3 linked regions of the Tamandua tetradactyla genome follow. The protein of the gene in region 1 interacts with the protein of each later gene in a biochemical or structural test. Links are inferred from orthologs where the notes say so. Each region holds a gene or a part of one and is shown in the gene's direction. Other genes may lie near its edges.

Region 1 (7,810 bases):
CATTTTACTCTTCCCCCTTTTGGTCGAGAAGTTTCTCTCAATTCCTTGATGTTAATTCTCAGCTCATTCTAGGGTTTTTCTCAGTCCTTTGATGCTGAGTGTCAGCTCATTCCAGGATCTTTGTCCCACGTTGCCAGGAAGGTCCACACCCTTGGGAGTCATGTCCCACGCAGAGAGGGGGAGGGTGGTGAGACTGCTCGTCATATTGTCTGGAGCGTCAGATTTATTTCTTCTCATGTGGATATCTAGCTGTCCAAGCATCATTGGTTGAACGGATGATTCTTCCCCGCTGAATTGTTTGAAATCTTAGGTTGTGTGAGTGTGTGTGTGTTGGGCGTGGTAGTGGGGGTGGGTAGTGTTGGGGTGATAATTTTGATTTGGTTTCGTGCAAAGATAAACTATATAGCTATTTTCTGTTTCTTAAGCCAAATAGTAAAATCTAAAACAAATATGTCTTACCTTTAATCTAATGTCTATTTCGTTTGAAAGAGTAAAACAATTAGTAAACATACATCACATTCACTACAGAAACCCTAATTAATTTGAGAAAACAAATATGTATTTTGCTCTAGTTGAAAGCTATTCGAATAAAACCTCTAATAATTAATAGGCTCATATTTTTATCTAATTGATTAGTTATATGGATGTGTGTTTGTGAAGTCCTGAGGAAAAACTTTTGCATTCATTTATGACAGAACTACTTAATGATATCTACTTAATCCCATTTCTGTATAAAAAGGATAGGTTCCACATATTTACTTTCAATTGCTAAGACATATTAAAACTGATACATTATCAAAGGTTTTCCTTAACTTCCTTGGGATTTCTTGGCTTTTTGGACCTCTTGACTATACTAGACATTTTCTTAATTTGGGAAATGAGAAGGTAACATCCATATTTGCATTTCATTGAAGTATCTGTTGTTCCCTTGCAGTTTCAACTGCTTTTTTTGCAATCATTTACGATTTTTTTTCTTTTAAACTTAACCTTAGTTTTCAGGATTCATTTTAGCATAGAAATTGAGCACTCTGCTATTGTCAATCCTTGGCACTAAGGCCTAACCTAAAATAAAAAGGCCTCCACTCTCATTAGTTGGCACTAAGGCCCAAATTAAAATAAAAAGGGAAAGCTGCACAGTAAGCTGCAGAGTGTCAAAATATCTTCATTTTTGCTCTTTAGACCTCCCTAAATGCTCAGGAGGCTGCAGCACATCTTCACTGCATCTTGAAGTAGGTGGCTGCCTCGAACAAAGGCTGGGGTGGATTTTGTCATCCCCAAATAAAGACATGGAACAGTTAAAGAGAAAAACCCTAGCTTTCTAAAGCTAGGGAGATGTTTGATAGTAACCAGCAAAGAGGTAGTTCTATGTTCTAAGAAAGACTTTTTAAAGCTTATTCAACCTAAAATGTAAAGCTTCTTATTTTTTCTGTAAAATCAGTTTACATTTACAATCCATAGTTAATAGAGGTAGGAGTTGTGACTACAGTACGATTAATAAAGATACAGTGCATAAAATGTAAACCTTGCTGACTGTCTAACTGGCATAAAAGCCCAGGCACAAGAAAATGGTCTTCATAAAGTAGCAAAAACACCAGTAATGGGCACACACAAAAATCTAAAACTTAACAAGAGAAAATTTTCTTTCACTGTACCTAGTTAAAGATTTCACAAGTTCTCTGGAGCTGCACTGTCCAAAAGATAGCCACTAGCCACATGTGGCTATTGAGCATTTGAATGGCTAGTACAAATTGATGTGTGCTGTGAGTGTAAAATACACATTGGATTTTTACTCAATACAAAAGATGGTAGAAGACAGTATGAAAAGGTTGTAAAATATCTAATATTTATGTTGATTACACATTAAATGATACTATTTTGGTTACACTCGGTACATAGAGTACATTAGTAAAATAAACTTTATTGGTTTGTTTTCAATTTTTAAAATATGGCTACCATACATACATAGCTCATATTAGTGGCTTGTATTATTTTACTGGGCAGCAGTGCTCTAAAGGCTAAGGCACTTTAACTATAGCATAATTACACCAGTGTTCCACCCGTATATTATCTAGTTACATTTATATGTATTTTTCCTATGGTATCATACTTTATTCCATAGTGTATGATATGGGTTAAAAAATTCTCAGGGTTATTGCTAAACAACCTACTTCTTCTCCTGAGAATCCCCATTCCCCTTAGACTAATTGGCAAATTCTTCCTATCTTTTTAATCTCCAACAGAAGCATTATTTCTCTATAAAATTTACTTGAATGCCCTAGCCCTACACCCATATTCCAAGTAGAATTAAACACTGCCCTCTGGGCTACAAAAGATCTTGAACAGTATTTTCTGAATGCCTATTGTTTGCCCAGCATAGTGACAGGTGGTGGTAGTATGAGAGGGATATGGACCTTACACCTATACTGCTTGCATTCTAGAGTGAGATACAGACAAATAAACACCCAATTACACACTGTGTGTGATAAGTGCTATAACAGGAGAGATTTAGGAAGCACTTCAGAGTCATACCTTACCCAGACTACATCTTTGTGGTGGGTAGGCAAATTGAGCCTGAACTTTATATGTTGGATCCCAAAGGATTTATAAAAATACTTCTGTGTTTAAGTATATAAATGGCAAGGCATCTTTTATACATCACAATTTATTAATATGAGAATTGGCTTCAAAATACAAATAACTGGGTGGTGCAATGGTGGCTCAGTGGCATAACTCTCGCCTGCTATGCTGGAGACCCAGGTTCAATTCCCGGAACCTGCCCATGCCAAAAAACACAAATTACTGAATAGGCATTCCTATGTTGTACACATATACATGCCCTAGTATCCCTCTGATGACCCTCTAAGCCAGCAAATTTAGATACTGATTTTTTTTTAAAGAACAACAAAATAGCCCTAACACAACTGGCATGATTAAATAAAAATGAATTTCACAAAAGGTGTGCAATTTACTTAACACTAATGCATGATCAAATAGAGTTCAGGATTTTAATGATTGGATTTCTGTTGGGGTTGAGAAAAAAGATTAATAACAAGAGGTGAGCAACTTCTGCACCCCCTTTGTTAAGTCGTCTAGCATTTGGTAGTGGTTTTTAACTCGTATTAGAGGACAGGATTAATACTTGGCTTGTTGAGTTAATTGTGTACCCTCGCTTATTAAGAAGTCATACAATCCCAATGATCTAAAACTCTTTAGGAGCAAAATAACTGTTTTCAAAAGCAACGTTTGAGATGTCCAAACACCTGTCCCAAAGTCCATGAGCTAAAGTGAATGTGCCCTACTCACAATGTACTCAGTGCCTTACACACTGAGTACATTAGTCACTTATGCAGAACCTATTTAGTTTGACTTTAAACAGAATTGTGACAGTGAGGCTATCGGTATCCTCAGTTTGCACCAGACTAAAAGCTGCCAATCAGGAGAGGAGAGGAATGTTAGAGGCCAACACGCTGGCAACAGAAAGGACAACAGATTGTCAGTTAGTGAATGGAGGAGAGAGAGAAACTACAAAAGGCAGATATAATTACTGAGCCATAGAATTCTAGAGACCTTCAGTGCAGGAGTTGGTGCCTTATATACTTTTTAGTTCCTGGGACCATTATCTGCTAGGAAGAAGCCTAATATAGAAAAGAAACATGATGTATTTGTGAAGCCCACTACCATCTACAATAATTAATTTTAATATAACCTGGATTTTCAAGAAAATGCCAAATCAAATCCAATAAACTCCTTAAGAAAGCAAAAATAAGCACAACGCATTTTAGAAAATCTTTATATAACAATTAAATAAAATTTTTTTTAAAGAAGTTTGCTCTCTTAAAGGGCCAAGTTCCAATTTTGCTGATCATTACTTACTACAACAGTCTATTTGGCATTAATCTTGTATAAATAATGTCTTATAGAACAACAGACTTTTAAAGTAAATTACTTTGAGCAGATTCTGAACTGTGGCAAATGCAAATAATAAGCTATTACATGAGTTTTAAACTGTATAAGATGGCAAAGGATTTTGTGGTTGAATTACCTGGGTCATGTAAAATTATTGTTCTAAAAAGCCCCATTACCATCGAGCAAAACATTCCTACTATGTGTTGGGCACTGTGGTAGCTGTCGGGTTCAATAAGCATTAATTTTAAAAATTAGTTTTGATTTCAAGATCGTGAAGGTATTTTCAAACTCTCATTCACAGCTTTAAATGTTAAAGGAAATTTTAATTGTACAATGCAGCCATTACATAACAGGCATAGAATACTGATTTATGACTTGGATAGGTTTTTTTTTTCTAAGTGCGCTAGCAACTCTGCTTTCAAATGCTATCAATTCCTAAGGATGTGAACACCTACATTTAAGAGTTTAGTGCTTCATCCACTTACTTGTTTTGTTTAAGAAGTGTTTTAATACAGGCATATACCATTTGGGAGTTTTAGGGTGAGGCTAAGCTGTACTTCAGCATTTTTGTGTCAAGGAAAAATAATTTCAGTAACGGCACTCATTTCCCCTGAGAATATTTTCATGGCAAGTTACTAAATGCTAGAGTCAAAAAGAAACCTGACATCTGGGGAGGTGTTGAGGGGGTGTTAATAGTTATAGTTAGATGTTTGCGGAGCGTTGAGGATAAGATCTGAAAACAGAAAATACAAGGAAAAGAAGAAATTATGGTTTTATACATGACACTCCTTCCTTCACTTTTTCGCTTCACCAGTCTAACACCCCCCTCCCCCCACCTCCTTTCCTCCCACCCCCAATTTAGAGGCGGGTTCAGCGAGATTAGTCTGCAGGAAACCCAGAGGCTTCACAGCGCTGCCGCCCCGGCCTTGTGATGTAATTGTTATTTCTTATTCGGAGACTGAACAGAAGAGAGCTGCAGAAGAAGTGGCAGCCCTATTTCTTTTGCCTTGTCTTATGGGTCAAATCCTTTCCGGGGATGATGTAGATTCGCTGACAGACTCTGTTGGAGACTACATAGTGACAAAGCAGCTGAAGATAAGCCCTGCTTCTGGGTCCTACGTCCGTCCAGGGAGCTGAAAGGATACTCCTCAGGTCTTCTTCCTAGTTTTTCTATCGGAGTCACTCCACATTTATTTTTGGGTGCCTCTTATATCTTGGGAGTGGGGTCAAAGTGATCCAGAGTTAGTGCTCGTGTCCCACAAGATGAAGGCAGGACACACAAATTACAAGTAGGTGGAAGTTGGAGGGTGGGTGAAAGGGAGCCAAGGGAACGCGTGTTGTGGGTGAAATGGGAGGAGAGAGAACCATAAGGCGCCAGCAGCCCTGGCACCCAGGCTGTGCCCCAAACGTGAACCATCTGGCCAGTGTAACGAGAACGATACCCCAGGCCCCGGCGAGGAGCTGTCCAGACTACTGTGGCGGTCGGGGGTGGCTGGACAGGGTCGTGCGCCCAGGGGGCCGACTCGGGCGCGCAGAGCACCCACCTCTTCCGGCAGACGCGATCCTCCCGCTGTCTCCCGGCTCTGGAGCCCCGGCTCGGCCATCCATAAGACGGGAGAAAAGAAAACAAAACAGAGGGGTTCCTAAGATCCTGCGAGCTGCCTGGACCTGGGCGGCAAGCTTCTGCCCCGGTGACAATGGGAGGGAGGGGAAAAAAAGGGTTAAGAAACTTGGCTGAAGAGCTGAATGGCGTGGAGCGGCGAGGGGAGGGACTGGGCCACGGCGGACTCGGCGGCGGAGGGAGGAGCGCGGTTGCGAGCGGGCGGGCAGCGAGCGAGGCGCTCAAAGTCAGCCTCGCAGACATTGCAGCAGAGCCCCGAACTCGGGAGGCTGCGAGGCGGCGGCGGCGGAGGAGGCGGCGGCGGAGGAGGCGGCGGCGGTCGAGGCGGAGGGACCACCCGGCCCCACGCCCTCGCGCGCGCCCGTCCGTGGCCTTGCGTCCGCCGCTGTGCTCCGCAGCCCTGCTGGTCGGACGGAAGAGCTCGGTGGGGTGCGAAGGGAGGACGGGGAGGCGGGGAGCCTTCGTGGAGTGAGCCTAACGGAGCCGTGGCGGCTTCGGGTGAGTGGCGACTGCGGCCCGGGAGCTCAGAGGAGCCGCCACCGGCGCCGCCGGAAACGGCTTCGGAGCGCGGCCCGCGGCGGCGGCGGCGGCGGCGGCGCTGGCCCGGTAGGGCCGCGGGGGCGTCGAGGGCTGGCGGCGGGCGGCCGGCGGCTGGAGCGAACTCCGGGCGCGACGTGGGCTTGGCGGCAAGGAGGAATTGTTTCCGGGGAAATCCCGCCTCTTTTTGGGGCTCGAATCTCCCTGGGAACTCGGGGGGCAGGGCAGCGAGGGCGGGCAAGTTAGGGAGTTGGACCCGGGTTCGCTAGCCCGTCCAAACTGGCCCTGGGTCGGGGCCGGGCGTGGGGGGGCGGCAGAGTGTCGCCCACGCCGTGACGGGCCGGGGTGGCCGGGTCGCCCGGACGGGGTCGTATTCCCCTCAGTTGCCCCTTCGGCCACGAGTGTCCGGCGCTTCTGGCCGCGCCGCTGTTCGTCCTGCTGCCCCGCGGCTCCCTGGGCGGCGCCGGGCACAGCTCCCGCTTCTCGCCCTGGTGCCTCCCTGAGCTGTGCTCGCCAGATTCCGGGCCACGAAAAGTGAATAGGAAGAGGGACAGCTCTTGGCCCCTTTCGTCTCCCAGGCCCGGTCCCCGTTACTTTTCCGTCCGCCCAGGGCTCTTTGGACACCAGGCCTCAACCATCATTTTACTTGTGAGTCAAGAACCGGGTTCACATATAGAGTGAGCCCTTAGAGGGCTTGGGAGGATATGGGAAGCTCCTTTTCTCTTTCCTTGTGTTCCTCCTATTAATGAGTGTTGTTTTATGAAGGGTTTCCTTGGAAATACTTTGCACACCCGCCCATCCTTTCCAAAGTAGTTTCCAAATTTTAATCAGGAGTTGGTGTTCAGTCTGAAGGAACAAAGGAATCAACTGTGTCTTAGAGACGAACAAACTGGGAGTGTGTGACACATGTTGATCTCTGAAGCGTTACCGGAGTTTCTATCTTTTATCACGTTGGTAATTTAATTGGGTTCTGAAGCTTGTAAAAGAACAGAATGATATGCACTTAAAAATTTTTTTATGGGACTTTTTTTTCGTGGTGGTGGGGAATAAAGACGTTCCTACGTACAATAACTCAATTCAGTTAGTAGAACTGAGCTGTATTTTGTCTCCGGTAATGTAGGTGTTTAAACATGAGGTTATGGGGGAAATATTTTCCTTAGAAGGAGACCTTTTGTAAGTGTCCCAAGTAAATATGGTTGTCGGGTTATATATATGATGTCGGTTCTTTACATGTCTTGTGGAATTTGTGATGCAAGGGGCTCTGGTAATTCATTCATCAAGAATTCTTAAAGTTATGAATTGCGTTGAACTTGCATATTAGTGAATCATAGATTCAGCAAGTCGGTAGCATCTTTCTGATGAGATTATTTAATATTTAATCATCATTTTGCCACCTTTGTTGAAAAGACAGAGAAATAAAGTGGACTTTTAAAACAAATAGTGCTTCATCTGCTCGGCACTTCAGTGTGGTTTGGCTGCCTAAAGTGTGTTGAAATGTTTTTCAACTTCCAAGTAAGTTTTCTCTGGTTTTGCTGGGAAGTTTAGTAACCTAAGTAAGGTTTAAATGGTACACAGAGCAGTGACTTCATCACCAATACTACCTTTTCTCTGCCTTGACTTAGCTTCTAGAGACAAAGGAGAAGGAGGAATGGGACAGCCAGTACTCTCCAGGGTTGCACTGGTCTATTTCAGACTCTAGTGGGAAAAGAGCTCGTTCCCAACTTAACCCTAAAAAGTGCCTTATTC
Region 2 (6,923 bases), on another chromosome or scaffold:
TGCATAAAATCATGTAGTCTTTTAAAGTTTAGCAAATCTAAATTACATACTTTAGGTCAGAGTTTCACAAAAATTTACATTTCTTTAGGCTTTTCTTATAAAGTCGTAATTTTCTCTTTTTCTCAATAGTTTTTCCTTAATCTAAATGCATTTAATCTTCATTACAGTTTATTCTGCTTATGATTTAAAGTGAAAAAATTTATGTATATAGTGTTATGTAGATCCTAATTGTATTTATCCCAATTGCTACATGGCTTTAAATAAAAAAAGACATATATATATATGAGAGACATAAATTATTTAATAAAATGTTTAATAAATGAGATAGGACTTTTAGCTTCATTTTTTTCATAATCTTTCCCTTAATGAAATTTCACATTTATAAGAACAGAAAGTCCAGAAAGCAAAAATCAAAATCTAAGTAAGCCTAAATTGTATTAACTTTAATAGAGTGTTCTTTTATGTGTTAGTCTTGATGTTTCTTATGACAAAGTGTTATCCTTGATAAATTTTACTTTGACTAGTAACAAAATATCCCTATTTTTTATTGAGGTTTCCTTGTCAGTTTTAGCATTGACATTAGTCTAAAAGGTATTTCCAAAGTTCTTCACACCTGTTAATTACTTGTTTGGTTCTTTTGAGTAGGACATTTTTGTAGACTAGTCAAGTAACTCAGGAAGGCATTATGCATTTAAAAATAGCCTTTAGAAACAGCCCCTAGTCTGTTCTTCAGTGCTAGAGTAGAAAAAAAAGTGATGAATAAATGAAATTATTTTAAAGAAATAAGATAGTTCCAGCTGAGATAAGATATATATTTTAGATTGAAACAGGAGTTTACAAGAACTGGATTCTATTCTGGGTGTGATCCACAGGCCACTACACCCATCTGGGCCTGACATTTCTCATCTGTTAAATGAAAGGTTTAGCTATGCCTAAATTTCTATAGCTTTCTCAGTTTGGTGTCTCAGTAATTCTTCCATGTTGTCACAGACTAAAAGAAATCAGACTCAACAATTGCACTTAAGTGCAAGTTAAGTTCAAGATTACATATGTTTCTCCTAATAACTTAGTGGCTATTTGAAGAAATATATGTACCCTTTTAAAAAAACAATATTTTATTTTAGTCTTAACGGGATGTGTGTGTCTGATGGGTACTACATATCTTCCAAAACCCTGCAGTCAGGTTGGAAATCAACATCTTCATTTTCTGTCCCACATTGATTTTTCCAGTCCTTGCATTTTATCACAGCTAGTTACAACAGCCCATCTAGATATGATTTCATCGAGAGGAATGAGGAACCATTTAACGTTGGAGCTGTGAACCACCTCTTGCCAGGGGTTTACATGGTATCCAATTGTTGCTCAGTATCACTGAGTTTCCCTTGAAAATTTAAAATATTCCAAGATGGTACTCCCAGGGCACTGGGTACGGTTTGGGAAGCATGGGGTTATGCTCTCTAAAGTACGTTATACACCACAGAATATAAGTAAAAAAGATAATTCTGAAGGCCTGGAATAAAGAGCTGCAGGAATGAAGAGGAAGTGAAAATTCTACTTAGCGTCCTGATTGCATGAATCTCTTCCCCTGCCCACTACTCCCACAAGATGTCTCATTATGCTTCGGATCTCAGCTCAATCCTCTTCTAGGCAGCTTCCCCTAAGTCATATCTCCCAATTACACATTCTTATCGTGCTCGTACAACACTTATTATTATTGCAATTACGCATTTATTTGTGTATTATTTGATCAATTCTAGTTTCTCCGATTAGAATATAACACTGAGAGGGTTATCTCTGATATTTCCATTGTATCCCACAGCATCTGGCACTGGACACCTTGCTGAATGAAATCAAAGTACTGTGATAAAACAGGTTTCACATTCTTTTTTACCCCCTTTATTCTAAAACAACTGTTATCTATAAAAGTATTCCTGAAATTTACTTCTTTTTCTCAGTCTAACAGGAAAATGGAACCCAAACATAATCTGTATCTGAAACCTCAGAAAATAATCACAAAACTAATTAGAAGGATGGCGTTGCTTTGGATAAGGCAGTCAAATATTCATGAAGTCTTTTAAGCAAATTACTCATTATAAGAAAAAATCATATTACTATCCAAAAACTGCCTATGGAAACTTCAAAAATCTTAGGGGATGGCTACAAACCATACTTTTAGCTAAAAGAAATGCTTTCAATTTTTTGATGCACTCAGTTTGAGGTTACAAATTTACTTGTCGAAATGGCTTGAAGGCATTTGAACTATAGGAATAGATATGTGAGATGCCATTTAGGCATCCTAATCTGCATACCCTTCTCTGTGCCCACTATCTTGGCTAGCAGCACCTACAGAAATTGTGGATGCCAGCCTCGAGTGCGCTCTTACCCCCTATTTCTTTATCCTTTCTATCTTCATCTGTGTTTTTTCTCTTCTCTCCATCCCACCTGCTACTTGCCTGGACTTTTACTTCAACTATTTCAACAACTACCCAACTACTCTCTTTGATTCTAATCTTTATAATCCAGCTTTCATCTTCATCCCAGAGCAGTTTTCTAAAACACCAGAATGCAATCCCTTGCTAAATATATTTTAAAAGATTCCATTGCCTACAAAATAAATTTTAAACTCTTCATCAAAGCTTTATGAATTAATCCCCAAATCTCTGAACAGCATGCCCAGCTCCTCTCTCCCTCTGTCCCAATTAGAACAGACTGCTACTTATTCCCAACACTTCCTGCCCTAAGTGCTTCCCCATTTCCTTTCTTCCACTAACCTTACTGAAACCTGACCTTGGAATAAGTTATCCTGATATTATACTGAGAAGTGTGGAGACAAATTGTTAAAAAAAAAAAAAAACAACGAAGACGACAAAAAAAAAAAAAAAAAAAAAAAAAACCTGCTGCAAAAATTCCTAGCCTTCAAGTCTAAACTCAGAAGTGACCTTCTAAAGTCTTCCCAAGTAGAACAATTTAAGCAGTCCTACTGGTTATCTTTCAATTCACTGTAATTCTCAGTCAAAAGTTACTCTTTCTCAAACAGGTGAAGTTAAACTCACTATTTGATATCGTGTAGCTACAGAAAGCTTGGCTACACGTAACTTGTTGTCACACCCTTTCCCCACCTGGAAATAGGTCCACAGAGGAAACCTCTTCTTGACCTCACCAAAATGGCAACTGAAGGGCGTCATTGCGTCTGACGTCATTACGCTCAGGAGGGTGGGGACCCTCCAGGGAAAGAGCCTGACAGGGAGGAGTCGAGGCTGGCAGGGCGGGACCGCGATGGGAGGGGCGGCGGCCGTGAGGGGTCTCAGGCCTTCTGCTCTCCTGCCAGCGCGCGCCACTGGAAGCGGCGCGGGCAGAGTGCGCTGGACGCTTGGTACCGACGGCGAGCCCAGACCCGCGAGCTGAAGGTAGGGGCAGCCGAGCGGCCGAGCGGAAGCTGGTGACCACCGGGACTGGCGGCTGGCGCCGGATTCCGCGGGCGGGGAAGCCCCGGAGCAGCGCGGCGGCGCCTGTTCTCACCCGCGGGGGCGCGGAGCCGGTCACGGGGCGCGGCGGCACCGCGCACGACCCAGGCCAGGCACCCAAGCAGCTGGCCCGGGCTCCTCCTGCGCCCGGGCTGTCTCACCTGCGGCCGCCCCGCCCACGCCGGTATAGGCGGCACCTGCGCCCCTCGCCCCGCGCGCCAGGCCCGGGCGCCCCGCGCTGCCGCGGCGCACCTGGAAGCGCCAGGGCTGCGGGAGCCGCGGGGCACCTGGAAAGGCCGGGGCTGTGGGAGCCGCGGCTCGCCTGGAAGGGCCTGGGCTGCGGGAGCCGCGGCTCACCTGGAAGCTCCCGGGCTGCGGGAGCCGAGGCGCACTTGGAAGGGTCCGGGCTGCTGGAGTCGCGGCGCACCTAGAAGGGCCCGGGCTGCGGGAGCCGAGGCGCACCTGGAAGGGTCTGGGCTGCTGGAGCCGCCGCACACCTGGAAGCGCCGGGGCTGCGGGAGCCGAGGCCCCAGCTTCCGCGCGGGAGGACGCAGGTGGAGCCGGCGCGTCTTCTCGGAATCCAGCGCGGGCGGCCGGCTCGCCCGGAGCAACGCGGGGCGCAAGGACGTCGGAGGGCCGCCGCTGGCCGGGCACCATGAACGGCAACAGCGCCAACATCACCTATGCCAGTCGCAAGCGGCGAAAACCGGTGCAGAAAACGTGAGTGTTCGGGGCGGCATCCTCGGGGGAGTGGGGGTGGAGGGGGCTGGAAGGCGCGTGGGGTCCGGCTGGCACCTCTGGGAGGGGCCCGCCCCCACACCCCCGCGTTTCGGGCGTTAGGTGGTATTTCCAACACAGCCGATAGAATCCAGATTTGAAGGTCGGTCGAGAGACTCGGACTTTTTAAATTTTTAATTAAGTTAAGAAATTGTCCCTTCTGACACCAGTGCCGAGCCCACCCACACCCCACCCCTTCACAGCTCTATTCTCCCTTCTGCGGTCCCAATTTGTGGACAGCTCTGGCCTTCCCTGTGCTGCTGGTGGATTAGCTAGCATAAATCTGCTCGAAATCCTCTTCTTATTTTAATGTCCGCATCGGTTAGAGAAGACGACTGTCATAATTCCCAATCTTGGAAAAGACAGACATCTGGGTAGGGCGAGGAGTTTTAAAGAGCTTAAAACGTGCCGTTTTGAAGCTGATTTTAGGGGGCTAGAGCGTCTGGGTTTCTGTTGAGCAGTTTTATTTATTTGATTGTCATTTTGTAGCGTCCAGCGTGCCTATAGATAGGTAAAGAGAGTAGTAAGGTTTGGTGTCAGGTGTGAGTGGTGCAATGGGGAATTGAATTCGTAGTCACGTTTTTGGGAAGCTTTGCCATCACTTGTGAGGTGCATTTGCAGTCTGTAAAGTGAAATATATGGAGCTGTATTTAAGAGAGTCGTTTTCATTCTTAGTACCTTCCTCTAGTTCCCTTTCTTCCCTACCTCCAAGCTTTTTCAATTCTAGTAGAGTGATTCCAGACTTGGATGGGAGTCATGGGAAGCGGCATATTTGTATGAGATGGCAAGTACTTTAAAATAGTGTTTAAAAAAAAATTGCGACAGATTTCCTTTTATCAGTTTCCAGTGTCGATTCCTAATTATAATCTGAGTTACTTTAATTCATCTATATTTTAAAATTTTTTATAAACTATTTTAAAAGCCCATTAAACGTCTGTTCAGTACATCAAAAATATGTATTTTGTTTAAAACTTTAGTTGGTAATGCCAATAGAGAAATAACAGTTTAAGATTTGCATTTGAAACTAATTATTGGTTGAAGATTTCATCATTCTAAAGTTTTAATTTCCTCTTAGATTTTCTGTGATCTTAGTGCCTCAAATCTAGACAAAGAAATTGGCATTAACAAAGGATATTGGACCGTCTATAAATAGACTGATTAAAATCCAAAAGTCTTATTTATCCTCTGTGTCTGACATTAGGTATATTGCTGAGTCAGCAGTTACTGTCTGGGTTACAGAACAGCGCATTTTGTGAAATAGCTTCTTATGTAAAATTATTTGTCCAATTTAACTTTGTTCTTGATGATTAAGTTTGGAAATATCCAAAATGCCTGTCCATGAGGCTGCTAATATAATACCATCCTTAGCTTATCATATAATAGAGTATCATGAGTTTTATGTGTGTGATCAGAAAATCTGACAGACTCCCTGATGGATTTTTAAGATATGAATTTCAGTCAGTGTGTTACAGAATGACACACCTGGCTTATTATTATTGTTATTAAATGCCTTAATTTTATATTCATTATGGAAGGCAACGTTATTAATTTATAGTTAATATTTTATTAGTTTTCCTTTTGTATTAATTTTTCCTTTTACTTGTATAATATGGACGCTTTATTATAATCTCCTAATATTTAACATACTTCCTAAGACTTTACTATACCTTATTTAGTAATTTCTTGTAATTCAGTATAACTAAAGCATTTTTCCTCATTCACCCTCATTTAGTTAGTATAGATGGCTGTCAGATCTTTACTGAACATCATGCATTACTTCTAATCATATGAATGCCTTAAAATATCATTTATTAAGGAAAGCCTAGTGCTAGCATTTACATGCTCAAGTGAAATGGTTTGCAAACTTCTACCTAGATGAAAAAGTTAACTTTATAATGGAGTTAATCAAAGGGAACTTTGATTTAGGAGTGAGGCCATTAAACCTAATCCTAAGTTTAATGTAATTTTTTTAGTTAAATTATTAGTTTGTGGCTAATGGGGTGTAAAACGTGTCAGCATTCCCACAGAAAAAATCCATCTTGTTCGGCTGACAATACTCTCCAGATCTTCTTAGCTTTGACTCCTTAAGTGATAACCATTTTACTTTTCTTGCATAGAAAATATGTTGTTTAGCACAATTATAAGACTGTTGAAAAACAGTTATTTAAATTTACAGTTCCATAAAATTTGGGGATAGAGTAAGAGACATAATTTTATCCTGAAGCTCTTCCAGCCTTCAATTCAATTTATTAAACAAAATAAACTCCCCCTAGTGGCAGGTCTAACATGGACAATTACCTTTATTAGTAGGAAATACATTTTAAGTGTGTTTAATTTAATCCTATTAAAGTATCTTTTACGTTGTAGATATTCAATAAATGTTTCTTTTCTCTTTGGAGTAGTGGTAATTAGGGAATTGAAGGGTCAGAAGCAAAGTTGAAGAAAGCATCTGATTCATGTTCCTGCCTTCACAAAGAAATTTTCAAAGAGAACCTCAGTAATAGATTGTCCTGTAGCTTTCCGTAGAACATTATTCCAATACTAATAACCTTGCTTGTTTTATTGAGTTTGGAGATAAAGGTGTTATTTATTTATTGTTTATTTTGTTTCATGAAGTCCACTATTGAATATAAATAGAACCAGCTTTTCTACTGTGATATTAACTCAGGACATATTTCTGAA
Region 3 (7,760 bases), on another chromosome or scaffold:
CCAGCATGGGCAACATCTAAGCCGTGTCCAAGGTTAGCCAAAGTAAAGTGAGCACTGGCCTCCCAGCTGGGCAGGCAGTTGAACATGGTTCCAAGACTTTAGCTCTGGACCCTGGTCTATATATTTTTGTTGTTGTTGTTGTTTAAAGTTTTATAATTGTTTTAAGAAATCCAGTCTTTTCAGACTTGCCCTTTTATTACACTTTGAATTTTCTTTATTGATTTTTTTAAAAGGAAAAATACAAAAAAAAAAAACACTACTCTTACTCCCCCCCACAAGATTCTCCCCACAAGAGTCTCCCCGCACTCCCTTCTGCCTTTGCAGTTTATCGTTCCTCCCTTTTTTTCTCTGCTTGAAGCATCTATGTCCAGTGTGTGATATGATGTTTTATCTGTGTCTCAGGATGAGAAACGGCAATCATTCCACCAGATGCTAGAAACTGGTTAGCCTTGAAGCAAGGGTTTCTAGGGCCACAGCTCAGGGATGTGTATTTAATTACAGGGTCCCCAGAAATCCCCTCTCGGCTGCCACAGGCAACAGCTTCTTTTCTGGGCTTGGGAGCCAGACCTGGTTTTCTTCAGAGGCAGGAGCCCCCTCCTCTGGCCAGAGAGCCTGCTGGGACTTCCTGTCTGGCCAGACCTGGGGACTTGGAGACTTTAAGACTTCTAGCTATCCCACAACAAGAGCCATGGTAGCCCTGCCTCTACCAGCTCATAAGAAGCCTGGTTCCTCTAATCAGTCCACTTTCCACCTGGCCTCCCTTTTCAAGCCTGCAGCCTAAATGGGCCATGGCCTGCTCAGGAACCCACCGTGGGCCTAAAAGGGAAGCTGTGACTCAGGCCAGAGCCTGCTGCAAGCCCAAGAAAAAAGTTGAATTAATGGTGGAGGCTAGTCTTCCAAATCCTGGAGCCAGTCCTACCAACCAAAGGATCATCTTTGTCTTTTGGTGACTATTGTTTTCTTACTCTGAAATGTCTTGTATTAGGTGATAATGTTGAACTCAAATTTCCATGAAAAAAAACTACCTCTTGAGTAACATCCTGGTCGATTCTTCTCTGAAGAATTCTGTGGGAAAAGAACACTGTAACTCCTGTTCTGTTTACATGTTTCTGTCGGGAAAGAAAGCCTGCCTGCCCTGGGGTGCTGGTGTTTTTGTCTGTGTTGCCATCCCAGGTCTGCGATAGGGCCTTGTGGCTGCATTGTAATGTCTGGGCCATGTCTGGGGAGTCCTTCCCACCTGCCAACCAGGGACTAGCCACTCCCTTGAAAAGGCCTCCATTTTCTTCCTGTGTTCCATGGCATAGGGAACACCACCTCCCACAAACTCCATCCTTGGGGGATCTGGTGGCACATGCATCCACGAGCCTGCCCCTGGGCTTCTCCAGGCTTGCCTCTACCCACAGTCCTGTGTAGGAATCGAGTAAATGGGATGTCTCTGAGCCCTTGTCCCCAAAGGGCTGGCCAAGGGCTGCCCCAGCCTGGCTCCATCAACCATGCATAACTAAATGATAGTTGGTGGGCTCTGTGGGCTACCCAGGCCCTCTGCTACCTCCCACCCTGCCAGCTGGCAAGGGATGGGCCCTGTTCTGTGAATTGACTACCTGTGGAAATGTGACCAATTAGTATAAATGCATGTTTAGAAGTGTTAGGTACTGTATTTGAACCAATAAATGTGAATCCTTCTACACATGGCATCTGTCTTATCTAAGGTTCTGGGGAGGGATGATGGGGTATCCCAAGCAATTAGCTCATACCTTCAGACCTACGGCTCCTCTTAGAGATGAAACCTACCACAATCCTTATTGCTGAGGGTTTGGCAGAAGGGATGCCTCTCTAAGAACTTCTTAAATCAATGAACTAGCACTGACTGTGTACCAGGCCCAGTGCTAGAATTTTTCACAGATCTGAACCTCTTTGAATCTCTAGAATTACTAACTATTCTATAAGTGAAGAAATGAGGTCAAGAGGTGGAGGGACTCTCCCATGGTAACCCAGCCAGAAAGTGGCACAGCTAGAGGAACTGAGTCTACTGGGAGAGGCAAACCCAGACCTATGCAGTACAGTGGAATCGGGGTTGCAGTTAGGGATGTATGTGGGTTGTAGGACCTGGAGGAGAGAGTGCATTGTTCTACTCAGGATAGTCAAGAAGGGTTTCACAGATGAATATTATTGAAGGTGAGCCTAGAAGAAAGTAACCAGACAAAAAGGGAAAGGTAAGGCAGGTAAAGGAACCAACAATATATGCAAAGGTCCAGTTGTAAGTAAAAAATATATGGAGTATTCAGGGTAGTTCAGTGGTAGAATGCTCGCCTTCCATGCGGGAGACCCTGGTTCAATTCCCTGGCCATGCACCCCCAGCCCCCAAGAATATATACATATATGGAGCAATCAGATATAGCAAGGGACTGCAGCAGCAAGAGTGGTAACAGAATGTGGGGATTAGTGCGTATCAAGCAAATTGAAGCTTCAAATGCCACATTCAGGGGTTTAGGGAAAAAACCATCTGCTAAGTCTCAGGAAAGAGCTGCACACATCAGTGACAGCAGTCCAGCAGATTAATAGTTATCTTTCTACAAAAAGGATGGCGTTTATTAATACTTTTTCTATGGCTGAAATCATAAAGGCTCTGAGAGGTTAAGGGACTTGCCCAAAGTCACACAGAAAGTGGCACAGTTAGGACTTGAACCCAGATCTTCCCAACATTCCTGTAACCCTGCTGCTCATGTGATCAGACAAGGGGCAGACTAGGGATGAGAATTGTGTGAAGACAGATGGGAAAGATGAAGGCTTCTCAGTCTGGGAAGATAAGTATGAAGAGAGTATGATCAAAGTGTATTAAACCATGTGGAATGAGGGGAAGCCCAGCTGCCTTCCCAAACCTCAGCCTCTAGCACAAAGGAGTCAGAGAGCCCTTGAGGTTTGAAAGCGATAGTTTTAAGACAAAGAAAACACTGCAGAATTATTAATAGACTCTTCCTTGCCCCACAAAAAGTAAACATAAGACACAGAGGTACAAGGAGAGGGGGGAACACATTTGCTGAGTGCCTATAAAGTACCAGGCACCATGGTTAGTGCTTTATGTGCATTATCTCATGTAATCCTCATAACCTTGCAAGGGTTAGGTCTTAGCCCCATTTTATTCATAAACAAATTGAGGCTTGAGGAAGTTAAGCCATTTGCCAAAAATGACACATGACTAAATGGCAGAATTGACTTTTGAATCCAGGTCTATCTGATAGCAAAGTTACAACAAGGCAGCCTCCCTGCTCAGCCTTAGCAATTCAGTAGTGCTGAATATGGACGTCTGGAGTTTGTAACAAAGCTCAGTAATGGCCTTTGGTTGAACTTTTTGCTATTAAGCAAAACTCTATTAAACTAACGAAAGATTAATTTCTGTAAGGGGTAGATGCACAGACCCAACCAAATTGAGCTGAAAAGCAGTGCTGTCCCAAATATATGACTTCTCAGAACATACACCAAAAGGTGGCTCCATGGAAAAATAAGTAGGAGTTCTATTGGCAAAATTTGGGGAAATACTTCACTTGCTCTTCTTTTTTTTGACCATTTTTTAAACTTTTTATTGAAGTATAATACCCACAAGGAAAAGTAAACAAACCATGAGTGTTCAGCTCAACTTTATCTTCTGCTCATTGACTCTCAACTTTCATTGGTACATAGTAAGGGCTCTGAGAGGTCCTAACTGAAAAAAACTGATTTTGTTTAACCCAAGGTCTACCAAAAACATTTTTTGAGCATGAAACATTTTTCCCCTAGCATAGCTGTGAAAATTCTATTGGGACAATATTCCATGGAATCTTAATGTATAAATTTCTACTTAACTAACACTGAGTTTTTGGTTCCCTCAAGTGCCAGGCAATAATCTAGAAGAAATGAATAATAAAGTAATTAATACAGAGTGAGCTAAGCAAAGCAATGGGCTGAGCATTTCAAGTGCATTAGATTACTGATTTTTTAAGGTAAGCCAATGAAGTTGGTGCTATAATGATCCCATTTTGCAGATGAGAAAACTGAGGCGCACAAAGGTTAAGCAACTTGCCTAAGGCTACATAGCTAGTGTGACCTCAGGAATGAGTATAAATTGGCACTGATCACCTACTATTTGGCAGGATATGTGCAAAGATCTTTATCCTTGTGCAATCCCTGTGAGGCAAATTAAGATCATCTCTGTAAATGAAGAAGCAGCAGGGTGTGCTGGCAGCTCTGGGTTATGCCAGAGATTGAACAAAAAAAAAAAAAAGAAAACCAGAAGTGATGGCAGGGGAGAGTGTTGGAATGAGGTTGGGGGTTGGGTGTGGTTCTATGGAGCCCTCTCCCAGGGATCACTTCCCTCGGACAACTCATGTGACAGCAGGCACATCTATCAGGGGTCTTACCACCTGAGTTCTAATCCCAGCTTTTCCCCCATACTAGTTACACATGACCTGGATCCAGTGGATACTTCTCTGAGCCACTTTCCCTATTAGATAAATAGAGAGGCCAGTACCTATGTCTCAGGGGTTTAAGGAGGATTGGCCATGGCTGGCTCAAAGTAGGAGCTTAATGAAGTCAATTCATAAGAGGAAGCTGTGTGAGGGGAGCTGCAGCCCCTCACCCCAAAAGCAGAAATCCAGCAGAGTTTGACCTGCCGTTAGCCTGGTTGCCTATTAGGGTTCTAGGTCCACAGTGTTGGTAATCAGCCTCTCTGGGCTGTGGCTAAAGTGCCCAACTGCCAGACCCAGGGCTCTTGGAGTTTTGTTCCCTTGGCAACAAGTCTCACCATGGAGACCAAAGTCCCATCCTTGCCCTCCCTGGAAACTCCCTCTCCACAGACCTCCCCTGCTCAACACCTAGTCCTAGGAACAGTGTAGGTACTGAGGAAAGCTACAAGGACCCTTCCTCAGGGTGAGGAGTTTGAGGTACAATCTAGCAAAAGAGGCAAAGGGAACTCCCAATTTCTGAATGTCTACTTTATGCCTGGCAAGGGTCTGAGGAGCCTATATAGGTGGTCTTATTTAGGTTGGAAGCCAAGCCCTCATCCTATCTTACATAAATGGAAACTGAGGCTCAGGAAGGCAGCATGGACCATCTCAGTTACACAGCTGATCATTATTGGAGCTGAGATTTTAATCTAAGGCTTCTAACTCCATGAACTGCTTTCCCTACAATGCCCCCTCTCCCACCCGTACTGCCAACACACAGCCTTCAGCCTCAATCTGGGGAAGAACTGCATAGTTGGGTGCGTCCCCCTCCATCCCAGGCCACGGTTGGCAGTATAAGCAGCAGCCAGCAGCCAGCAGCCCTTTGAGAGCTGGGCCGGGCCCAGCAGCAACAGCGGAGGAACTGCACTATTTTAAGCCAGGGCCAGAGGGCCCCATGTGGGTACAGGGAGGGTGGCCTCGGGCCCTTGGCTAGCTTCCCGGAAGTCACTGTGGCCTCCCTCCTCTCCCCTGAGCAGCTTTCTGAGGCAGTCACTTCCCTACAAACAGGAAGGAGGCCCTCAGGCCTGGAGACCTCCAGTTCCAGCTTCTTCCTCCTACCCCTCAGTCTTCTCCTCAATACCAGGGAGCCCACCAGCTCCAGGCTCTGATCAATGTCCGGTATCTGGACTGACTCTTAGCAGGTGGGTGGGAAGGGGGCCTGCACTGCTAGGGCTGCCTAGGGCACCAATTACAAGTTAAGACCTCCATTTGCCCAGGCCCTCCCCCATGCCCACCCCAAGACTGATTTCTCATATGTTCCCACTGAGGCTAGCTACTATGAGCCAAAAAGAAGAGCAGTGATACCCCCGGATTTAATCCCCCTTAAGGGCCCCAGAGAGAGACAGAGCAAAGAGAGACAGACTGGGAGACTGAAACAAGCTGAAAGAAATAGACATTCCAAAAGATAGATTGGGGCAAAACAATGACAGACATAGATTCATGGGGTCAGATAAAACTGGAGAGATGCTCAGAGATAAAAAGGAAAGAAAGACAAGACCCCAGAGATGGCTGCAGAGGGCTGGGACCTGGGGTGGGGGGTGGGGCTCTGAATGACGGCTCCTGCACACCCCCCAAGCACAGGCTCTGTCTCATGTCTGTGGGGGGCCCACCGGCTGCGTGGTTGAAGAGGAATGTGGGGAGCAAGGCTGGGTCACCCCTTGAGGGCCAAGCGTGTGCACGGTGAGATAAGCTACCCTAGGAAGGGAGCCCCAGCTGTGGCTGCACACTCCGGGAGCATGGCGGAGAGTCCCAATCCCAAGGCTGCAGCCCCAGCACTGCCTGACATGCAGCTCCTGCAGTTCTTGCTGAGGATCTCCACCAGGCCTCTTATTCCAGGGGGTCCCGGGTCCCTTGGCCCAGCCCTCAGAAGCATGCAGATTGTGAGAGTATCATGTTCACAGAGGAGGAGGGTGGCCACTGGAAACCCTGCCAGCTGCAAAGAGCTCTAACTGCAACCCTGGTTCAGGTGAGAGGGCCATAGAGCTGATCATGCAGAACAGAGGCTCCAGCAGGCTGTGGGGTGCAGAGGGGGTGCAGTGATGGAGCACTATCTGTGAGTTGTCCCCGCCTGGCTTTGTGCACTCATATGCACTCGTGTGTGTCTTGGGCATGTGTCCATGTGCTTCCTCTCATGTGGGGCTGTACAAAGATGTATGTGTCCATTTGTTGCCAGGAGTTCCACTCTGCCTCCCCCAAGTCTCTACTCTCTGTCTGGAGAAGTGGCTCCCAGAGGCACCTGGTCTTCCCCACCCCCACCAGGTGGTCCAGCCAGAGAGCCAAAAGGTGGAGGGGGAAGACTGAGCAGGTCCATTGCAGGCCCCTGGCCCCCCTCCCCACACTGCAGCTGAGGCTCCCGCGGCCACGGCCTTGACCCGGCACTATGGACTTCTCTGACATTGGCATCGGATCTGAACATCTGGCAGCAGGCTGATAAGGGGTACAGCGGAAACAGCCTCTGCTGCTGCCAGCAGGCCCACCCCCTCCTCTGCCCGGCACAGGGTCTCCACACTCCCTCTGCTTCCAGCTCTCTGGACCCCTACCCCTTTCTCTTTTTTCATTTTCTGCCTCAGTGTCTCTCTCTCTCTCGCTCTCTCTCTCTCCTTCTCTTTCCCAGGCTCTGAACATCTCTGGGTCTCTTTTGCTGTCAGTGCAGTTTCCTTTTCTCATTTTCTGGCTTCTTTCTTTTTCAGTCTATCTCCTTTCTACACTGTACCTCAACCCATTTCTCCCCTCTCTTTCAGTTTCTTGGTCTCAGGTTTGTTTGTTCCTTGTTCTACCTCCAGGAAATAGGCCTGGCACGTTGGGAAAGTCCCCACTTAGGAAAGAGACCCTGGGCTTTGTTTTCCTGGGGAGGGAGGCAGGCGGGAAGCCTCGGTCAGGACTACATCCCTTTTCCTCCTCCTCCCGGGGGTCTTGTGGCCCGGGACCACCTGGGCTGGAGCTTGAAAGAGAGGGCAAATAGGCCACCCAGGGGCTCTTAGAGAGCCAGGAGCACTCAGAGTCTGCAAGTCTAGGCTCTGGACTCCACTGTGTGGATTTGAATCCTGTTCCCACCACTCCCCTGCTTTGTGACTCTGGGTCGCAGCCTCATCTCTCTGGGGCCAAGTTGCCTCATCTCTCAAATGTTACTTTGGGAGGTGAAGGGAAAACTACTTACCTCCTAGGATGATGGAGAGGGCTCAAGATTGACCACAGGTGTAGAGTGGTTAGTAGCAGCCCTGGCCCATAGGAGGCAATTTTGTATTAGGGCCTTGCCATTCCCTGCATCTGGCAACCCCTGGC

What was found. The genes of interacting proteins can lie anywhere in the genome.
Region 2: the proteins of NRIP1 (region 1) and AHR form a complex in vitro, tested with the Homo sapiens proteins (2 studies listed by BioGRID). The link is inferred for Tamandua tetradactyla from reciprocal best matches to the Homo sapiens genes NRIP1 and AHR.
Region 3: the proteins of NRIP1 (region 1) and NR5A1 form a complex in vitro, tested with the Homo sapiens proteins (2 studies listed by BioGRID). The link is inferred for Tamandua tetradactyla from reciprocal best matches to the Homo sapiens genes NRIP1 and NR5A1.

What each region holds. Positions count from the first base shown.
Region 1 is NC_135336.1:72,551,625-72,559,434, reverse strand, and holds the start of NRIP1 (nuclear receptor-interacting protein 1), read left to right. Parts: upstream 1-4,801; 5' UTR 4,802-5,058; intron 5,059-5,076; exon of another isoform or gene 5,077-5,195; intron 5,196-5,450; coding exon of another isoform or gene 5,451-5,770; exon of another isoform or gene 5,771-5,798; intron 5,799-5,857; exon of another isoform or gene 5,858-6,025; intron 6,026-6,172; exon of another isoform or gene 6,173-6,598; intron 6,599-6,611; exon of another isoform or gene 6,612-6,712; intron 6,713-6,728; exon of another isoform or gene 6,729-7,810. Other genes in the region: uncharacterized protein LOC143648536, read right to left, coding at 4,609-4,639, 5,451-5,770. UniProt on the Homo sapiens protein: Modulates transcriptional activation by steroid receptors such as NR3C1, NR3C2 and ESR1. Also modulates transcriptional repression by nuclear hormone receptors.
Region 2 is NC_135327.1:106,847,392-106,854,314, reverse strand, and holds the start of AHR (aryl hydrocarbon receptor), read left to right. Parts: upstream 1-3,904; 5' UTR 3,905-4,119; coding exon 4,120-4,184; intron 4,185-6,923. UniProt on the Homo sapiens protein: Ligand-activated transcription factor that enables cells to adapt to changing conditions by sensing compounds from the environment, diet, microbiome and cellular metabolism, and which plays important roles in development, immunity and cancer.
Region 3 is NC_135328.1:46,602,845-46,610,604, reverse strand, and holds the start of NR5A1 (steroidogenic factor 1), read left to right. Parts: upstream 1-4,741; 5' UTR 4,742-4,864; exon of another isoform or gene 4,865-4,916; intron 4,917-6,314; exon of another isoform or gene 6,315-6,444; intron 6,445-7,760. UniProt on the Homo sapiens protein: Transcriptional activator. Essential for sexual differentiation and formation of the primary steroidogenic tissues. Binds to the Ad4 site found in the promoter region of steroidogenic P450 genes such as CYP11A, CYP11B and CYP21B.